Xenopus tropicalis: one gene and its partner. The protein of the gene in region 1 interacts with the protein of each later gene in a pairwise test. Links are inferred from orthologs where the notes say so. Each region holds a gene or a part of one and is shown in the gene's direction. Other genes may lie near its edges.

Evidence for each region.
Region 2: the proteins of bnip3l (region 1) and smco4 interact in binary tests that used the Homo sapiens proteins (3 or more experiments, as listed by UniProt). The two-hybrid records come from large-scale screens. The link is inferred for Xenopus tropicalis from reciprocal best matches to the Homo sapiens genes BNIP3L and SMCO4.

What each region holds. Positions count from the first base shown.
Region 1 is NC_030679.2:127,988,500-127,992,255, forward strand, and holds the start of bnip3l (BCL2/adenovirus E1B 19 kDa protein-interacting protein 3-like), read left to right. Parts: upstream 1-1,335; 5' UTR 1,336-1,343; coding exon 1,344-1,389; intron 1,390-1,430; exon of another isoform or gene 1,431-1,511; coding exon of another isoform or gene 1,512-1,605; intron 1,606-3,756.
Region 2 is NC_030678.2:165,806,564-165,809,939, forward strand, and holds the end of smco4 (single-pass membrane and coiled-coil domain-containing protein 4), read left to right. Parts: intron 1-2,148; 5' UTR 2,149-2,220; coding exon 2,221-2,400; 3' UTR 2,401-2,820; downstream 2,821-3,376.

The sequences.
Region 1 (3,756 bases):
GAAAATTCGCCACACATCGGCAGGCTTCGCTGTGTAGAAACAGCGTAAAAATGGTGGTAATTTTTTACGCGTTTTTTCTTCCCCTGGAACTTATGGAAAATAACGGCGTAATATCCGGCGTTCAGGCGGCGATCTTTTCCATTTATATTACACAGCTTTTTATATAAATATATATAAATATGCCCCTTAGTGTGATTTAGGGGGGCAGCTAAAGCCACTCAAAAATAAGTTCTCATTTCTGTAGGAGTATTTCCCGTGTCAGTGTTAATAACCCCCATATGTAAACAACCAAACACACCAAAGCACAAAGTTCACCCATATCCAGTCACCCACAGCAACTCAGCCATGCCTTTACACACCTGACCAGTCATGCTCCCTGCTGAGCCTATAAGCGATTAGACAGTAGCAGACCGGTCCCATACGTTTAAAAATGGCTTAAGGTGGCCATACACGAACAGATCCGCTCGCTTGGCGATGTCGCCAAGCGAGCGGATCTTCACCCGATATCCCCAACTACAGGTGGGCGATATCGGGGAGAATTTAGGTAAAAAAAAGAATAATCCGATCGTTTGGCCCTGGGGTCTGGGGGGATTATGTGGGCTGCAATGGGGCATCAACGAGCCGATGCGGTCCCCGATCCGACCGGATTTTCTAACCTGGCCGATCAAGATCTGGCCAATTTCAGGTCAGATATCGGTCGGCCAGGCCGCTCTGCTCTCCCCATACATGGGCCGATTAGCTGCCGAATCGGTCCAAGGGACCAATATCGGCAGCTATAGTCGGCCCATGTATGGGGACCATAAGACAAGACCCTAAACCAGGGATCCCCAAGCTTTCTTACCCATGAGCCACAGTCAAATGTAAAAAGACTTGGGGAGCAACACAAGCACCATAAAAGTTCATGGAGTTGCCAAATAAGGGCTGTGATTGGCTATTAGGGGCCTCTATGCACACTATCAGCTTACAGGGGCTTTATTTGGTAGGAAATCTTGTTTTTATTCAACCAAAACTTGCCCCCAAGTCAGGAATTCAAAAATAACTCCCTGGTTTGGGGGCACTGAGAGCAACATCCAAAGGGTTGGGGAGCAACATGTTGCCCCTGAGCCACTGGTTGGGGATCACTGCCCTAAACAATAGGTGACACCATAATTTAAAACAAACTATCGCACAGTTGTCAGAAGCAACAAATGAGAGGCAGTACTGCGTTACGGGTTAACAACATCACGTGATCAGCCGACTCCGCCCCCTCCGCCTCAGGTGATGAGGCTGATTAACGTCAGACGGGGCGTGGCTGCGCAGTGCGGCTCCGTCTCCCGGACAGACTAAAAGCTGCTGCTGTCGCCATGTCCGAGAACAATAACAACAACGGGGAGGAGGCCGCGCTGCACGGTAAGAAGCACATTGTGTAACTAGGACCTCGTTTCGATTCCAGCGCCCGTCAATTGGGTCGAACGGCGAGAATTTGAACGAGCTCAGGACAATGTTTGGGTGCGAAGCTTAGGCGGGATCCCATGATGGGCAGCTGTGGGAGCCAATCGATAATGAGTGTAGGCGGGACTGGAACTTGGAATGACGGATGCGGTCCAATGGGAGATTTAGGTGTAGGTAAGGGCGGAGCTTACATGGACTAGACTAGAGGGAGAAGCGGCGCTGCATTGTTGTTGTGGGTTACTGTACTTTATTCATATCAAAGAGCTTGATAGTGTGATGGTTTCGCTATTAGTGCTTCATACATGTGCCCAGTCATGTGGCTGCCAGTGCCGAGGCACACTTACACGGGTGGGTGTGTGGGAATGATGACGTGTGTGTTTATGTACGGGCCAGCCTATAGCTTCATGTACACTCACTGTCATCGCCAAACACTTGCCATCTGTTATTTACTTTAAATATATGTTACTATGTATCTTTCAGATCATGTTTAATATATATTTCTAATACACAGGAGCCTTGGCTGTTCTGTACCTTGTATCCTTAGAAATGCTCCTTAATGATGTCATCTTTCACATGACTTGCTGAAATGTGTTTATTATAAGAAATAATATACCCCCTGTTGTCAAATATAAGGATATTAGAAGTCACCTCTGCCTCATTCACTTCTAATATGCTGTATTTTGTTGCCCCACAAGTCTTTTTATATTTGAATGTGGCTCAAAGGCCGGTAAGTTTGGGGACCTCAGCCTTAGACTGATGACTAAAGGTGGCCATACAAGCGAGCGGATCTCCCAAATTTGGTGAATTTAGGCTAATTTGGTCGTTTGGCCCTGGGGCCAAACAATCGAATTAGAGCGCCGGTAATAGGCACAGTTGGTTCGGGGACCGCATCAACGAGCCGATGTGGTCCCCGATCCTACTAAATTTTTTAACCTGCCCAATTTCAGGCCAGATATCGGTCGGGCAGGCCTGTTGTTAGGGCCACTACACAGGCCAATAAGGTACAAAATCGCTCTAAGGGGCCGATATCGGCAGCTGCAATCAGCCCGTGTATGGCCACCTTTAGAGAGGTATGTGTGTGTGTGTTTTATAATGCATACAATTGCATGGTAGCAAGACTTTTGGCATGTTGTTAGTCATGTAATCCTTTGGACACTCCCGGCCAAGAGACGGCATGCCAGGGCTAGCCCTATGAAAAATATTCCAAATAAGACATTTTACTGTAGCACTCTGTATTATGACTGCCTAATTGCAGGAGAGTGAGATTATAATAAATCTGGTAGTCATAGCCAGTGATATTGGTTTATATTGGGACAATGTTGGTGTTATACATGTACAGGTATGGGACCTGTTATCCAGAATGCTCTGGACCTGAGGTTTTCTGGATAAGGGATCTTTCAGTAATTTGGATCTCCATAACTTGTCTGCTAAAAATCATTTAAATATTAAATAAACCCAATAGGCTTGTTTTGCCCCCAATAAGGATTAATTATATCTTAGTTGGGATCAAGTACAGGTACTGTTTTATTATTACAGAGAAAAGGGAATCATTTAACCATTAAATAAATCCAATAGGGCTGTTCTGCCCCCAATAAGGGGTAATTATATCTTAGTTGGGATCAAGAACAAGGTTCTGTTTTATTATTATTATAGAAAAAAAGGAATCATTTTTAAATGTCAGAATTATTTGCTTATAATGGAGTCTATGGGAGACGGCCTTTCCGATAATGGGTTTCCGGATAAGGAAAGCCATACCTGTACCTGGCAGTTCATTGTTTTCTCTAGCTAGCCCAGGTTCTGTTTATTTGTTTTTTATATGGTTATGTAACATGGCCAAACGTGTGTCAGTCACTACATCATCTTTAGGGAAAAATATATACTATTTCTATGAATCCATTCACTGCAGCTGTAATGTCCCATAACTGTTTTTCTTTCTGAATTTAAGCTTCATCTTATTGGTAATAGAAAGTAGTCGTTTAGGAGAAAGTTTTGGTCTCATGAAATGAGGCTTCTGTTGCATTTATGCCTTTGTGATAGTTCCCCTTTCAGGCTTCTCTTTGTTATGTTTACATGCCTAACTGTCAGAGGAAGCATTTGAATATGTATTGCGCTGTGTTTGCCAGAAATCTGGTGATGTTGATGTTGGACGCTGAGACAGCGGGGTAGGTGTGTGGCATATGTTTCATTGTAGCTGCACCTTTGGGGACACTATCATAAGATCATAAGTGTTTACACCGTTCGAGTAACCCATAGTAACCAACCAAGTGGTTTTGAGTTTAAAGTGGGTGGCTAGTAAATACTACTTATTGATTTCTGTGGGTTTCT
Region 2 (3,376 bases), on another chromosome or scaffold:
GTCCCGCATTTCCGTAATAGATTAAGCAAATGCAGGACATTCATTGAACTATCCTGGACACTGGGATGTAATGGCTGTAGCTGGGCGCTCCTGCTCCTTGTGTGGCGGCGACAGGCCCTTTTATAAGGTTGTGCCCGTGCATATTGACGTCACACGTACACATGGGGCACAACCTTATAAAAGGGCCTGTCGCAGCCGCAGAAGGAGCACTGTGTATGTGGGCACTGTGTATGGGGGCTACTGTCTGGGGCAATTGGGGGCACTTTCTATGGGGTCAATGGGGGGGGCACTTTCTATGGGGTCAATGGGGAGCACTTTTTATGGGGTCAATTGGGGGCACTTTCTATGGGGTCAATGGGGGGCACTTTCTATGGGGTCAATGGGGGGCACTTTCTATGGGGTCAATGGGGGGCACTTTCTATGGGGTCAATGGGGGGCAATTTCTATGGGGTCAATGGGGGCACTTTCTATGGGGTCAATGGGGGGGCACTGTCTATGGGGTCAATGGGGGGCACTTTCTATTTCTGCGCGCGCCAAATCTTTTTGTCCCTCTTTTCATTTTTCAAATGTTGGGAGGAATGCTTTTAGAGGGGCTGATTCTCGGCCTGCATTTTCCCCACAGCCTAAGCCTAATGGGGTTAACCTTGAAAGCTACTGTGTATGCAAATGGAACAGTCCCACAGGGGTGGGTTGGGAGTCACATGGTAATGTCAGCTGACAACCAGTTCCTTTCAAACAGACCCAGGATTTCACCAGGGGCTGCATTGTGCCCCCATAGTGTTAATTAATCCCATTACTATCCTGCTCGTTTCCTTACTGTGGTTAAGATTCCATTCCAGTAGTGCAATGAACAGGTTAACAGACTGGATGGAGCTTCAATGAAATAGAAAATGACAGAGTAGTGCAGAGAATCTGCGGGCAGAGTGCTGGTAGATAAATGGTATATGGCAATAAATGAGGGGTTTGTAGAGGTGTAAGTGCTGCAGTTTTTAACAAAGCCGTTGATGTTGCTGCTTCCCAGTAACCGTTATTTAGCCATGACCTGGATCCCTAGGGGGTATCAGTGTTGTACTGATCCGCAGCCGGCACATCCCCAGCATTTGTCAGGTAATAAAAGGATATAAAACACAAGTGCAGCAACAGTTCTGTTTTTGTATGAAAGAGGTTTCCATTGTATTGATAATAGCTTATAATTGTGCGCTCAGTGGGCCGATACCCTGCTGGAATCCTTTTAGCCATCGAGTCCTGCAGCCTCCCATTTAGGCCTTCATCCTCTCATTTCTGGCTTGGAGACAAGTTTCTTGGGAGCATAAAAATGTAGTTTTACTCCAAGCAGCCTCCTGTCCCTATGGGGCTACCAAATAGCCAATCACAGCCCTTATTTGCTCTCCCCAATTAACTTTTTTCATGCTTGTGTGGCTCCCCAACACCTTTTATGTCTAAGGGGCCCATTCATTAAACCACAAATTAATGTCCACGATAATATCATTAAAATTCCACGACTTTTGTGGTTTTCGTTAACTTCCACGAAAAAGTCAGGTTGGATCTGTCGATTGCCATTGAGTCCTATGGGAGACTTCCAAAATCATGCATTGAAGTTTCCGAACGTTTGGATCTGAAAATTTTGTGACTTTCCGATCGCAACCACAGTATTTTCGTACGACCAAGAAAATAATTTTCGTGACATTTTTGAACATCAGAAATTATCGTGGTTACTCCGATTTTTTTCCAATCGTGCTTTAAACCACCCAAAAATCGTGGTTTAATGAATGGGCCCCTAAGTGTGGTAGATGAGTAAAAAGGTTGGGGGGCAACCCTGCTGTAACCGTTAAGGTGGCCATACACGTTAAGATCCGCGTGCTTGGCAAGGTCGGCAAGCGAGCAGATCTTCTCCCGTTATCCCCACCTACGGGTGGGCGATATCGGGTGAATTTAGGCTGTTTGGCCCCGGGGCCAAACGATCGAATTAGAATGCTGGTAATAGGCACAGCCGGTTTTGTGGTCCCCGATCCGACTAAATGTTTTAACCTGCCCGATTTCAGGCCAGATATTGGTCGGGCAGGCCCGTCGTTTCTGCCCCTACATGGGCCAATAAGCTGCCGAATCAGTCTAAGGGACGTATTTTAAATCCTTTTTGTTCATTTACAGAAACACAACCTGCTGAAATCTGAAGAGGCGCGTAACTTGGCAGCACCACCGGTTTGAGCCGAAGGAGTCACGATGCGGCAGCTGAAGGGAAAGCCCAAGAAAGAGACGTCGAAAGATAAAAAGGAGAGGAAACAGGCCATGCAAGAGGCCCGGCAGCAGATAACCACTGTAGTGCTTCCCACGCTGGCCGTGGTCGTGGCATTAATTGTCGTATTTGTCTACGTGGCAACACGGCCAAACACAATAGAGTAGATTCCTCTCACAGCTGCCTTCTGGCAATGGAGCCAAAAACAGAATTTTTTTTTTTATTTTAGAAATTTTACCAGTTTGTAAAATGGACCCTTGAATCACCTGCAGTGTTTTTAGCGCCGACTGTCCTGTTCTGAATGTAACGAGAAGCAAATACGGATAACAAACGTGCCATGCATTTCCAGTAAAACGATTACTGTGCCTTTTATAATGATTTTTTTTAAAATAAAATATGCTGATACAACAGTGTAAATGACCCCCCATAATCTGAAAACAGTATTGCCCTAATGTCAATGTTTCAAGAACCTCGTATCTGTGTTCTTTATGCAGTTGCCAAAGGACGCTACCTTACGGTAATGTTGATTCTCTATATTGTATCCTCCATCTCTGATATTTATTTTTGGAATAAAGAATGAAAAAATATATATTGTGTGCTGTCCACTGAAAAGAATATTGTGCGTATCAGAGAACCAGGCTGTGTGCTGAATGGTGCATTGGCTAGGTTGGCCAAACACTGGACACCAATCCAGATTCTCTTGAAAGCACAGGCTAATAGTAATCACCTCCCCAACTATTCCAAATATCCAGTCATGTTTTTCAATCTACCAGCCCAGTTGGATATGGTCCCCCCCCAACCCAAGATATGAGCGCTGAAAGACCAGATGGGCCCAAGTGAGCTCAGAAGTTGGCCAAAATGCACAAAGACTAAAGGTCCCCATACACGGGCCGATCCGCTCGCTCCTACGGGTGGGCGATATCGGGAGAATCCAAGCTAATTCAATCGTTTGTCCCTGGGGCCAAAAGATCGAATTATAACGACAGGTACAGGCAAAGTCGGTCCGGGACCGCATCAACAAGCCGATGTGGTCCCCGATTTGACTAGATTTTTTACCCTTCCCGATGGATATCTGCCCAATTTCAGGCCAGATATTGGTAGGGCAGGCCCGTCGGTAGTGCCCATACACGGGCCAATTAGCTG